Linked DNA regions of Styela clava. The protein of the gene in region 2 interacts with the protein of the main gene of each other region in a biochemical or structural test. Links are inferred from orthologs where the notes say so. Each region holds a gene or a part of one and is shown on either strand. Other genes may lie near its edges.

Region 1 (7,646 bases), on a different chromosome or scaffold from region 2:
ACATTGGAAACTTCAATCCCCCTGGATTCAAAATCTTTTCCATGTGCAAGATGGTACAAATGAGAATTATTTAGAAGAGCTTTCGATGGTATACACCCAACATTCAAACATGTCCCACCTAGGGTTGGACTCTTTTCTACGCAAACAGTTTTCATTCCTAGCTGGGCAGCTTTGATAGCAGCGACATAACCGCCTGGTCCAGATCCTATCACTGTCAAATCGGCATCATGAGTGGCCGTTGCATTTGTCCTGGCATTCAAGCAATTGAAACCAAGTGAGGAACCTTTCGAAAGTCTACGAGCTAATGCAGAATTCAGTTTTAAATTGAACATTTTGGCTTAAATATAAACAATAAATTAGATTACTAAATAAGTACAGCATAAAAATCTGCAAAAAAGGACAATTCAAATGCAGAAATAATTAAATCTGTGTCATTTATAATTAGCCATTTATATCAGAAAGAAGTTTGTGAAGTTAAAACACAGGACCTATCAAATCAAAGCAGCCGCTGGCACAAATTTGCCACCACTGAATGTAAATACTAATTCAATTTTGTACAATACAGCCTTCAAAAATATCTTCAGAGCAATAGGAAAGTTTTCCAAGTTTCACATTTTACACAATGAATTGACAAATAGGGCATAAGATACAAAAAGTGGAAAAATTTTCTGCCACAACAGGCTATTTATAAATGAAAATAAAGTGACCAATATTACAAGTTTACAAAATTTGAAAAAACAATCGACAATTGAAAAGATGTTTTTATATTTTGGAAAATCCAAATCTAAGTTATGCAGTTGAAATTTTGCATTTTCAGAAAGATCAGGATTTATAATAAATTTCTCACAAAAATTTGCCGATATCATGATTTGATGAACAATGGCAAAATTCAGCACATTCAACAAGAAAATGAATTACAGAGAACTCAAACTCGTATGAGCATATTTATGTGGAAAAAATGCCGAAGTAGCTGCATTTATAAACCAGAGAAAACAAGAAGAAAACAATCAAAAAGAAGAATGTTATAATAAAAAAAGAACAACTGGGTAAACAAACAAGTATTCGACACATAAGTATGTATTTCTGCTTTCGTTTCAGTGAACAAATAAGATCTCAAAACAATGTATCTATATCTATTCAATCTATATTGAATCACGAACCACACAACATAATTAGAAATATCTCAATTTCAGAAAAGTTTTTCAGCAGGTCAATAATATGACAGAATTTAATAAATATACACAAATTTTCTAAATACTACTTTCGCTTAAGAATAGTTGTTTAAAATGAAATTTTAAAGTTTTTGGGAAGCCAAATATAAAGCATCTCAACATAATAATAAAGTGAATGAAATAATGTACATAGGAAAATGAAGACAACACCAACATATATCATAGCTTCTCATAAAGTCAGAAATTCATTCTCAAGGGGATACCACAAATTATAACCATAAAGATTCCTGATGCAAATACATTAAACATTGCCATTTGCGGTAATTAGAAAACTCACTCATTGAATGACGTTATTAGCAATTATAGTTTTCACTAAATATAAATACATGACTGTCAACATTCTACTCTTGTCAGAGTATATAACTTGTTCCACAGAGTCGGATGCAAAAATAATTCTTAACTGCTTGATGAAATTGGAGTGAGGAACATAATATTACCGGTTACACAGATCATAAAAAGTATTTTATTCTACTTCTGTTACAAAAATAATACAAACATGAACGAAATTATTAAACCAGAACAAAAAGAAATTGTTTTCCTCAAACATTGCAAACAATTATAATCATCCGATAGGGAAAATAAAGAAAGCCATGGTGAAAAGTCCCAATACCACTACCGAACAAAAAGAACTACAAAATCATGTCAAATAAAAATGAAAAAAGTTTATGTTGCCATATATTGATTTCTTCCTTCTACTACACGCACTTATATCTATTTTTTTTATTCTTTACAATATGACTATGATATGCTTTTGCGAGCAGCCAAACATATAAATGTTGTTTTCCTTGTATTTCAGGATATCATTACCATCAATTCAAATCACACACAAGAAGGTTTGAAAAAATTGTTTTTTTTTTAAATTAAAAACCATTCACATTTCTAAATTCGAAAAGGCATTTCGACAGTGTGATATACATATAAGACAAATAATAGTGATTCCGCTAGAAATATATCAACTTAGATTATTCAAATGCTTTAAAACAAAACAAATCAGTTGGAACTTCACAGCAGTGAATCCAATAAGTTTTGCAATTGCGGAACATGGAAATTCAGATGAACGACTATTATTATTCCCGTTATAACACTATTTCTAAATGAGCATATCAATATATCATCCATCAAAAATAAATTCTAGGATATGATACCAAAAGGTATACCTGATTTTGTAGAAGGCAGTCATCTACCTAAAAACATCATACTTGCACACACAGAGAAAGCAACAATGGAAGGCAGAAATAAACTTCAAAATATACAATTCAATGTATATAACATATTTTCCTGAGGCAAGCATGTTACATCATAATAGGATCCCTAATTTACATCTTAGTTTGCAATTCTGTGTTACGAACACAATCACATTACTCAATACCTCTGTGTGCAAAGAGTAACATATTGAGGACAAGCTTGCCATGTAATTGTGATGCAAATCTGCAAATAGTGATAAATAAAAAGTAAGAGATTCTGAAAAGAATCACAATAGTCTTTCCAGTGTTCCACCAGGTAAAAGTCAGTGCATTGCTAACTTGCTCTGTGAAGGTTTTCGTACTTGAGGCAGTTCGTCAGGAGTTGGCATGTGATCCCCTGTTACTTCTTTAGGTTCGACTTGTGCTGGTATCTTCTTGCCTCCCATTTTTGCTTTTGCCATGTTGTAGTCACCAGAATCAAAAAATTTCTTTTGACTACCGAGGCGTTGTTGCAGAAATCCTCCTTTTTTAGGTGGAAGATCTTTGTATTTCGTCATCAACATTGCCTCTTGCTGTTTTTCAACTGAAACAGGGGGTGTCGCTGGTTTCTTAAAATCACCAGTTTCTTGCTGTCCTTCTGACATATTGGAATTCTAGATAATATATGGTTTACCGCACAGGATTATCAGTAGTTATGCTAATTAACTAAAATACCCAATGATAAAATTAATGCAGTAATGCCATTCAAATGCTCAGCGGACTCATTTGAGACCGCGGACTCGGGTTGGGAAACACTGTCCTAGTATAACGCAGCAGTCCTAAACTGCTGTTATTATTGTTAGGGGACCTCTGTCACGCTAGCGAAATCCTGCTGCTCAAAAATACGATGTCTTAAAAAGTGTTTCATTATAAAATTTATGAATAAAAAATATTTTTAATTGCAATAAGCAAATGAGGTCTAAAATTTTGTTAGGGTTAGGGTTTCCGTGGCTATTGATTAGAAATAGGCCTACTTCGCAAAGTGGGAACACACTTTTATGACATCGTATATTTTTATGTAGGATTTCGCTAACGTGAGAGTGGCGTTAGGGGGGGGGGTCTCATGTAGTTTCATACCTAACATACTTCTAGTGGGCGTAGCATGACAAATTTTTCACGTATCAATCCTAACCGCCACCTGACTACACCATCCAAAAATTACATCATTACGACGTCACAGTGACGTAATAGAGCCCTTCAAACTATATGAACTGCCATCCGAGGAAGATCGATAGCGTCAGTCAGTTCTTTAGCGCCGGCGCCAATGGCGTTTCGGGCGATCGTACGTATATTTGGCAAGCTCTATGACGTGATTGTGATGTCGTAGTGACGTAATTTTTGGATGGCGTAGTCAGATGGGGGATAGGATTGACATATCAAAAAATTGTTATGCTACGCCCACTAGAAGTACCGGTACGTTAGGTACGAAACTGCACGAAACCCTTGTGGGTCTGGTATAGTTTAGTACCACATGTACTTCTAGTTGACCTGGCTCAACAATTTTTGCATATGTCAATCCCAACCCCTACCTGACTACGTCACCGAAAATTACGTCATTTCGATGTCACAGTGGCGTAATAAGACCCACCGAAGTATGCGGGTGGTCGTCCAAAACGCGCACACGATCACCCAAAATCGAGCAAACAATTTCTCGTCACAACGATCAGGATAGGAGAGACATCGCCGGCTTTAGCAAGTTCGTTATCGGCGGCGCAGATGACATTTCGGGCGACCCTAATTATACTTTGGCAATCCCAATGACGTGATGGTGACGTCGTAGTGAGGTAATTTTTGGATGGCATAGTCAGGTGGGGGTTCGGAATAGCATATGCAAAATTCGGGTCTAGTATAGTTTAGTACCACAAGTACTTCCGTTTGGCGTAGCATAACGAATTTTGGATATGTTATTTCTAACCCTCACCTGACTATACCGGTATCATCCAAAAATTACGTCACTACGTCGTCACAATCCCGTCATAGAGCTTGTCAAGTATAGCTACTATCGCCCGAAATGGCATCTGCACCGACAATACCGAACTCACTAACGCCAGCGGTCTCTCTCATATCGGGATCGTTGCGACGAGAAAACGAGAGAAATAGCTTGCTAGATTAGGTATTCCGTTTATTACGCCACTGTGGCGTCGTAGTGACGTACTGTTTTGGTGACATAGTCAGGTGAGGGTTAGGAATGACATATGCAAAAATTGTTGAGCCAGGCTAACTAGAAGTGGATGTGCTACTAAACTATACCAGACCCCAAAATTCGTTATGCTACGCCCACCGGAAGTACTTGTGGTACTAAACTATACTAGACCCCAATTGCTTTCCCAAAGGCCAAATTGCCACTACCAGACTACCGTACCGACACAAGCCTATCTGCCTATGCCTCTGACAGGCACATTAGTCTGTCAGTACCGGTACCGTTATACAGTTATAGTACCACCAGAGACAACAGGGGTGATTTTCTCCGTGGACCGTGGCCTGGACCCAATTTCTCCGTGGTCTGGCTCAAAAGCCACAAAAAAGTGCAAACTCCCTCTCACCAGAGATGTACGGTACCGGTACCGATTAGAGATGCACCGATGTATCGGCAATATCGGCCATTTTTCGGTATCGTTCGTATCGTTTTCAATAGTATCTTCCTTTTATATACCTAATTAACGATTAGAAGATCGATCAATTTGGCAATGGCAACCATTACAAAAATATCAATATGGTGTGGCAGATAATTTTCTTTTCTAGTATTTATTTATTTATTTTTTTGTTTACTGTATAGTATACCCTAAATTTATCGCGTTTCATTCTTACTTAAATAACTTCTCAGTGGTTGTGTGTGTGTGTGGCTGGTGGGTGCATGTGAGCGTGTGTGAAATAACTTGATAATTTTAGGTGAGTAAACACGTACCACTTCCTCTTGGCAAAACCTTTCATCTTATATTTTGTACGTTATAAACCTTATCTAAGGTTTTGTTTGCTCCCCTGATTTCATAATCAGATTTTATTTATTTGTTTTTATCTGTCAAATGTATTGTTATGCTGATTATGGAGTCGAAATAAACTTATACTTATATACTTATATCGGCCATGTATCGGTATCGATTAGATTAAGGCCGATATTTCCGATATATTTACCTTTTTGATATGGTTCAGAATGTTTTAAAAGTTAAGCTGGAATACTACTTTTTAATTAATTTTTTGTCTGGAGAGATCGTGAGCTATGAGCCATACATGTCCCCACCCCCGCGAGAGAATAGGATTCGCGTGTTTTTAGCCGGTCTTACTACTTACTGAATACAGCGCGAAACACCGCAAAGAGCGCAAAATAGCGCGAGTAAGACCCTCTAAATCAGTGATTCTCAAACTAGGGTTTGAGAGCCGCATGCGGCTCTCAACAACCTTTCCTGCGGCTCCCGTAAATGTTTTAAAAATTAATTATTTTCAAAGGAAATTTTTCATTGAAAACTAATCATTGACTCGAAATTAAAATGCTGAAGTCTATTAGTTAGTCGAATGGATTTCCCCGTGTTTATTTGCGTAGTGTTGACTAACCTATAAGATGCAATAGTGACGCAACAGTGAGCGTTTTCGCGGCCAATCGGACACTTTTCACTTGGAAAGATTTTTAGACATGGCTGTAATCATTGGCTTGCTTTCGTGGATTTTCAGTTTTTGTCGCATTTCCAGATCTTATGTATAAATCAAATAACTCGATGATTATTTTAATTTCTATAGCATTTTAATTTTGTTCCAGTAATCGAAAATAGTCTCGAAAAATGTGGCGATTATCTCAAGCAGCTACTGCACCTTACATCCTCAACGATTACGACCCGCTTTGAAAACTTATCAGAAATCAAAGCCTAAATAAATAGCGGTTCGGCTAGGGTGGGCAAAATGGAATTTTTTTCGAATCGAATAATTTGAATATTTTTTTTATACATAACAGGGATCCAGAACTTCGGAGGTCGATACTCCGTTTGGAAATTAATAGAAACATTAAAAAGTCGGCAATAAAGCGTTTTTTAATGGGTAATTTTATCATAATTGCTGATTGTCTTTGTCACCGCGATCGTTTTGGCGGCGATATCCTAAAGTTGGTATTCTATATTTCCGCCCTTTCTCGGTTTTGCAAGAATAAGCGGTCGCTGAATATCAAAATTTCATATTTCTAGTATACCCTTGCGTTCACATCAGCGACAGCTGTTGAATACATTTAAGGACTAATTTTGGAACCAAATTAATTCTATTCTGAGTTTTATCCTCTGCCTTGGATTCGATCTTCCTTATCACCGCTTGTAAATTAACCCTGCATGTTTAAAGTGAACGGTAACCGAAATGTAGATATTTATTATAATGATATTTGAGTTTCTCATGCTTTTCTATGGTGTCCGTGTTATTTTAGTATTAGATAGATAAACCTAGCAAATTTACGTTTGCGTGAATCCTGCATGTTGATTTAAAATAGCGATTAAATAAATTGGCAATAAAGGCATTTCTAGGCCTTTGTGCCTAATAGAGGGTCAGACTCTAATTATACCTAATTCCTTCAAGTTTTATCGTTTTTTTTTCAACAAAACAACACCCCGATGGTTATTATAGCTAAAATACTTACTGAGTAATGCTCAATTTTCTTTACGGAATTTGCAAATTCAGCACTTCGCTTAATGATTTCGATTATGTCATACCTTGAGGCTTAATTATTACTGCCCAAATGCTTCAAAATTTAACAATTGTAATCATTTTCGATGATAATAGAAGCAACAATTCGTGAACGAGTCCGTGCTTTAAAGGGAGTAGGACATGACATTTCTTATCCGGTTACAACTTAATGAGTGTTTTCCATACAAGTAACTCATACCAGCTTTTGGAAAAACTTTTGGTCATTTTTAAATCCATGCTATTTACATAAATAGAGTGTTTTAACGACCTAAAATCGCCTTTTTCACAATGAAACGCCTAAAAGTCATTTTAACATTTAATTTTGAGCAAGTTTAGGTTTGGTAATGCAAGAAGTGGCTAATGACATGCCACCAAGCATGCCGAGTGTAAATCTGGGAAATTTATTTTAAATACCTAATCTGGTTTGACGTTTCCAAATTTACGGAACGGTCGGTACGTTTTTTTTTTGCAAAATGATGAATTGAAAGGATACGTTAGGTGCAAAAATAGGCATATAACACCATAACGCAAAAAC
Region 2 (7,497 bases):
ATTCCCAAAAATTGGAAGCTGATTTCAGCTCTGGCTGTTATATCGATAATAATATGTCGGACTTCACAATTCCGGTTATTCCGATCATCCTTCCCATATTTACACCTATTCATTCACTCACCTATGCACTATCCCATGGTTATGCAGATATTCCAAAGCCAGCGTAGCTTCCGCGATGTACAGAACAGCCATCTCTTCATCAAAATATCCAAGAACGCTAATTAAACTTTTTACATCCCCCCCAATCACGTACTCCATGATCTGAAAAGCAACATTTCTTGACTTATTTGCTCACACAAAGATTTCCAATGTAACTTGAGTAGGATTTTCCAAAATAACGCTTACCGGTAATTCACATATTTTGGTTCAAATAAGATCACGGGTAGGCAGGCACTGATGTAGCTAGTATTTTCGAAAAGATCACATTGGCATTGCCCCATAATAATAACTAGTCAATGTAGTCAGCAATTAGGGATGTCCAAGCGAACCAAATATTCGAAATCAAATCGCAAATTATTCGAATCGTTTTTCAGCTAATTTCCGAATTGCTAAAATTAGGTACAGAAAGCGGAAACCACCTTTGCAGGACGTTTCTCATCGGACAAGCAGTGGTCCATGTAGTCAGCAATACCAACACATTTAAATCTCAGTCATTGAGCCCAAAGATACCGATAGACACCCTGATATAGCCTACTGTCATCAGCTTAAATTGAGATGTGTACATATTTTTACATGAAGCTTTCATTCCTTTCACCGAAACATGGCTCTGGGTGAGCAGTTGTTCCTAGGCATGGAGCTACTTCATTTAGAAGGATTGGACTCTTTCTGATTCCATACTACTGCCTATCCGATTTATTACACTCTAGGATTTGTACCAATGATTTTTAAACACAGCTCTATGTAAGCAGTTATTCCCAATGGCCGGCAACCAACTTGTTTATGTTAAACAAGTTCATGGACCCCATCTTGTGCCATATTTGGGAAACACGAAACAATGGAGTCTTATGAGAAATTTTCTTCGTGTTGTTGTACCAAATCGAATAAATCAGCTGTCATAAGGGCTAGAATGAAGCCGAAGGGTGGGTTTTGAACTTTAAGCTATATGCTACTTAAATATATAACGCAATTAGGAATAAAAAACTATCTAATGGGTTAAATTTGGCCACAAACACAACGTAGAACCATTTTTGGTCATTTTTTCAAAGATTTTATAGTGATACACCAATTTGACGCTGTAAAATGTCTTCGCAACAATCATACAATGTCATTTGTTCTTCTAGCGCAGCTTGGAGCTTGACAGACGAAAAATGTAAACCAGAAAATAGAAACAGCCATTGAAGCGAAGTTGAGTCGGCCGGTAATTTCGACGAATAAATACAGCTTTTCATCTGTGATGTTCCTAGGCATGGGAATTGTCAAATGGTTGATTATGACGATTGGAAATGCCAACTTACTTCAGAAGCAACTCGGAACTGGTATACTTGTCTTCAAGGACAATTTAATGTACTGTAAATGTAATTTGGCAAACATGGAAGAATATCAACGTGTTAGGCTAAGATTCTCCTTCAAAACGCGACCTTCTAAATTTTTCTACCTAAAATATTAGTGAAAATAATAGGTATGTTTCAATGATTGTGTGCAAACTTCTCATAAGGCGTCGTGTTGGATGGCCGAGAACAATAGGCACAAGATGGCGTCCATTGTCGGAGCGTTGCCTCGCTTGTATCATATATACGCTTTGGTTATTCCTAGGTATGGAGCTACTTTATTCGGAAGGATTGGAATCGGCAGATTCGGCACCGCCTATCCAATTCATTACACCTTGTATCCATATCCAAGATTTTTTCAACTGCAATGCCTACATATCAAGTCCAATGCTTTAAGTTGAGGAAAAAAAGAATGAAAGTTCTGCAAAATTATTTACCAGATAAATGTCATCATGAGTCTCTAATGAATAGTACAAGTGTACAATAAACGGACTCTTGCTCAAAGCGAGGGCGTTGCGCTCACAAACGACGTTCTTCGTCATGTTTTTACGGACCATGTTGCTCTTCTTCATAACCTGTGTTGAAACAAGAGAGAAATGCTCAAATACATGTTAATAGTCAAACGAGATAGCGATCAGAGACCGCCGACTTATCGATCTAGTGGCGTGTATCCTTCGCTCTGACTCAACAGCGACACTGCGTGCCCCATCACTAATTAATTAATGACTCGCTAATTATATGACATAATTCATCCAGAATCATTAGGCTTCTGATCCGAGATATGATGAATGCACATGCAAAATTTGAAGCAGATTCATCTTCGCTTTCGTGAGATATCGCGTAACATACGAAAGTGTCTAACAGACAAACAAACAGACAAATACCTATCAACATACGGTAATCAAAATCGATAAGTAATGACTAATATGGAGACTGCAATGCGAGAAAAATTCCAATTATAAGTGAAATGAAATTATACAGAGTGGGGTATGAAAATATGCTGTGAATTATCAACAACAGCAAAATTTGGAGCAAAAACTTTAAAAAAAAAAATTAATTGCTTTTTAGTGACTTTATTAAGGATGAAAACTTTGTAATATGGAAAAGCCTTTATTTTTAATGCTAAAAATTGGCCACAGCTTACTCGTTAAGTTGACTCATTAGCTGAAAACTTTCTGCATAATGAAGGGGACTAAAGAAAGATAGTCGTTGAAATTATATTATTGAGACTACAAGAAATATAACGAGAATATCGGTCAGAGACCGAAGACTTATCGATTGAAAGTTAGGGGATCCCCCAAAACAGATTAATAACTCGCTAATTATACGACATAATTCATCCAAAATCAATAGGCTCCTGGTCCGACATTATGATTGCACATGCAAAATCTGGAGCAGATTCAATCTCGCTTTCGTGAGATGTCGCATGCATCTAACAGACAGACATACAGACAGACAAACAGACTTACCGATTAAAATCGATAAGTAACAATCTAAGCAAAGATTCACCTTTATAGCATATAGCTTGCTGTTGGTTTTTCTTTTTCCAAGCAGTACGCAACCAAATGCTCCTCGACTTATTGGTTTTAAAATAACAAAGTCGTTGACATCGGGCGGTTTAGGGGCAGCCGACATATCCATGGACTCTCCACATATGGATGCGCCAGTGTTCTCTTTTATGTCAACCATGATAATCGAAATGGAATCTCGACAAAAACCACTGGAGCATGACAGGCTAAACTGTTAATGTCTGGAAATAATTTGATAAAATTGAAAGTCAAATATGGGAAAATAGCTCTCAAAGAGTCATTGGTGCAACTATATTACAACTATATTTCTAGGATTCACAAATCACAATGAATTCATCGCAAACAAAATGCATCGTCAGTAGTTTCTTCCAAAATCAGGCACTCCTTTAGGCATCTGTAGTTGGTGTAGTTTGTTAGTTTATTAATACAGTAAAATGAAGTTGCGCAAAAAAATACAAAGAAGCGCAATCTAAAAACGTCATCATTGAATTCCTTTCGAAAAAAAATCCAATTTACAGAAGAAAAAAATTTTCTACTGTGGCATTCGAGAGTTTTTAGCAAAAAACAGGATTCTGATCATGTGACGGCCACGATTTATTTAGAATACTTAATTATTGAGACAAGCGTGTTGCAATATGACGCATCTGCCGTCATGCCAGACGCCCCTCGTTTGTGTGACACATGGGGTGTTTGTTTTATTGATCCAAATTTTGGAATTTGGATAGTGTGCCCTACCATACTGTAATAAGGTATATTTAATTTTTCAATGCTAAAATATGAAAAAGCTGTGCAAAAAATAACAAAATCACACCCTTGTAAAAACCTATTTTCTAAATGCTTCCGATTACTTTAAAAATATAAACTAGACATACACATTTTGTGAGAATCTTTTTGGCTCAAAAATAAGGCTTATACTTATGAACTTATTACAGCTTTAGACATTCAAGCAATAGCAGAATACAGGAATAGCATGGGATTTACATATAGGGTGGCCTACCCACTTTGCGGCCACGACCTATTTGCGACCATCAACTTCATCGATTAATTTAATAAGGAAAAAATTAAAGAACCGCGACGATATTTCTCACACGTTATCGTTCACTTATCCCCCGTAGTTCTGCGAAATTACACTAAAAAAAACGAACCATTTTTCATGTCGCCAACTACCCATTGTTCCTTTAAAAAAGCTTGAAAATCCTTACAAATATAAGAGATAAAGAAATGAAACTTGGCAGGTGGGTAGAGTTGTGTTTCTTTTAACCATCTTTAAAGTTTCGCGTTTCTACATTTAAAGGAGGGGGAATAAAGGGATGCACATTTCCAAGACGTCGATAATATCTTCGTCGACCAATTTGCGACCACCGTGTTTTTGTCTGTTTGATTGCTGTGATGTGGTGCTTTGTTTATAATTTGACAAGTTTTGTTCGAAATAACCGTGTTCTTAAAATATATCACGGTCAGAAATGCAATTAGAAGCTTTTTTTTTCACGCATGGCTGCGTATGCCCTAGTCTCCACGCAGCAGAAACGATGTTCAAGGCCTGAAATGCGTGGTCGCACACTGGTCGTTCGGTCGCAAATACGTCTTCAGAGTGTCGTACTTTGTCGGTTTGTATAGCTTTAACTCGAGGTTTAACGTGTAGAATAAATGCCAATGCACCTACGGTGAAAAAATTAACGGGTTAGAAATATTGGTTTTTGTTTTATAGCGGTTTGGAAGAAATCGTCCGCAGACTGGCTACACCACCCTACTGCTGTACTGCAGTACCGGTATTCATCCCAGCGAAAAGGCAACTTAATTATACAGTTATATGGCGAGCCAGGGCCTCTCGTCCAGTTACCGTACCAGTTCATGTCGGGTACCGTACCTACAGACCTATGGAATGTGGGGTATGAGCCAGTTACGTACAGTATGGTACCGGAATTTTTTTCGTAAGCATAGAATGGAAACATGGTTTTGTGGCAATGTAAGATAATTTATTTTAAGCTGGGTTATCTGGTATTGATACAAAAAAGATGAAAAAGAGCATACGGGTACGGTATACACCAGCACCGCAGCACACATGAATCATGATGAATGACTGACCGACTACAGGACTACGGTACCGTAACTGAAGTCGAGACGGCAGATGGCGCGCGGTGTGGCTCAACGGGCTAAGCGTTAGGAATACGCTCGCCACCGCACCTCTAATTACTCTGCGTGGGTTCGCAGGTTCGAATCCCATGCAGGGATGGTTATGTGCGAGAGGATTGCTGGACTCCTCGCCGTCGTTGGGTGGTTCACGTAACCGCTGGTCGGTTACGGCTTCCTCCACCACCAAGTCCATGCTTCCGAAAACAAACAATACAGTAAAAACTAATCCCATACCCGACTTGGAATGGTAACCGGACGAGAGGCCGTGGTTCGCCATATGGATAAGCCGTCTTATCGGCTTTCCTCTCCCCCGGGATAAATATGTAAATCCTATCCTAAATCCTATTCAAGACTTCATAACTTCTGTATCTAACTTAGTCTATATCCCTGAAATATAAAGCCTAGTTGGGTTTACTCACCCTTAAAACAAATCCTGAACACTTCATGCTATAACTGCATGCCATTCCCAACTCATAAACAATTCAAAATAAACACTTAATCTGAGAAGCAAATCTGCGAATCCGACCTTGATTAAAAAATTCAAAAGTGCCGCCTCAACATCACAACAAAGCGAAAAAGGATAGTTGCCAGATAGTTATATGTCGCGCACGATTAATTACGCTGCGCTTGAAACATTGTACTGGTATAATTGAACAAAAATATATGCCTGTATATTATATATATAATATATCATATTTAATATTGAAAAAAATGTCAATAAATTAAACAGACATACAATAATTTCCTAATTGACGAATGGCGAAAAACTATCGAGTCCTCGTCCATCCGTTGATATTGTACCTGTTCAATATAATCACTAGTACCATAACAATCTCTATTAATTAAGTTGGATATTTCGCAAAATTTATATAGTCACCAATAATAACAGCAGTTTCGAAAATCTAAAATTCCTAATTTTCCTTATCACGTATTAGAACTAGGGATGGGCCGGGATTCGAATCCGGACTCGGATAATATAACGTAAGTTAAAAACTATTGATCGCTTATAAGAATGATGTTGCGCCAGTCGCCTTCAAACTATCTATCGTTTCCGGTATACACAATAAAATATGTGTTAGCGCAATATTTTTGAGTTTTTGATTCGCGTAAAAATGAAACATGCCCTGGATCAACCCAATGGGGAATCTCATCAATACTTCTTTTAATTTTAAATCGAGTTTATTACGGGCAATCCTTTCGCTAAAAAGGCAGTGGGAAGCATGGAGAGTTTTAGAACGTTTACATGAACTACTAAATTGCAAGCAGATGTACCACAATGTATTGACGACGAGTGTCATTTCTCTACTATATGCGCACGTGACATACTAAATTCCCGGCTAGAAATATCTGGAATTATGGGAAAACATTGTAGTCAAAAGCTTTTTATTTTTCTTATTAACATGTAAGAATATCTGAATAGCCGATCAGAATTGACGCAAGGTGGTGGGCTAGAAATCCAGTTCACAGCCAAGGCGCACATTAACCCACGTTTACGTTTGTATTATGGCCGCCAAAAAGAGGGAAATATATTTTTAAAATGATTCAACAGCTATCTGCGAAACCATTAAGCAAAAAATATGAGCTACGACGTATATTTGTGAGCGCACAATGCTGTAGCATGGTCAAAAACGTGTTTTCTGCTTTTCTGTTATGACATCACGGACTCGGCAGATTCGATTCGAGTCCTTGACCTATTACTCGGATTCGTCGAATCTCTGTAATGCCGGACTCGTCCCATCCCTAATTAGATTATTAAAACCTTGTATGCCAATGATCGATAACCAGTTTGGTTCCCCACGACTTTCCGTTCTCAGAAAAAATGTGAAATTTTTACGCAATTGGTGTATGATTGATTTTTTTTATTTACTGGTTGAAAAAATAAACTTGGCCCAACATGACTCGTCTCAGCGCCACCACCGTGTTTAGGGACTTGAGAAGCGGATGACGAACAAAGGTCCAATAATAGGATATACATTTATTTTTTCCAATACGTCGTGTTGAATAAAGTTAAAGATAGTGCGATGAATTAGGAAAGAGATGAATAAATAAGTCATAGCAATAAACAGTTAACAAGGAGAAAATAATATCTTACTTTACGTGTAAGCAAGCATGTGTCCCTCTATAGTCTATAACATTCATATTATCCACAAATATTTTGTCTGTACGTTTTAAACTTACTCAAAGTTTTTATTTGGCTCGTACATCCTTTAATTATAATTTTGTTGTTTCGTATTTGCAATTCTTTGGATACTCAATTACTAGTTGAACTCATGGTATTCAGATTCATCATGACATATCATGGCAACTGCCCCTGATAACCCTCAAAGTTCGTATTGTTGCCTCACAGC

What was found.
Region 1: of the proteins of serine/threonine-protein kinase greatwall-like (region 2) and cAMP-regulated phosphoprotein 19-A-like, one has a biochemical effect on the other in vitro, tested with the Drosophila melanogaster proteins (2 studies listed by BioGRID). The link is inferred for Styela clava from reciprocal best matches to the Drosophila melanogaster genes gwl and endos.

What each region holds. Positions count from the first base shown.
Region 1 is NC_135252.1:10,593,969-10,601,614, reverse strand, and holds cAMP-regulated phosphoprotein 19-A-like, read right to left. Parts: upstream 3,200-7,646; 5' UTR 3,061-3,199; coding exon 2,740-3,060; 3' UTR 387-2,739; downstream 1-386. Other genes in the region: dihydrolipoyl dehydrogenase, mitochondrial-like, read right to left, coding at 1-332.
Region 2 is NC_135257.1:23,351,200-23,358,696, reverse strand, and holds the start of serine/threonine-protein kinase greatwall-like, read right to left. Parts: upstream 3,239-7,497; 5' UTR 3,177-3,238; coding exon 2,997-3,176; intron 2,063-2,996; coding exon 1,925-2,062; intron 262-1,924; coding exon 122-261; intron 1-121.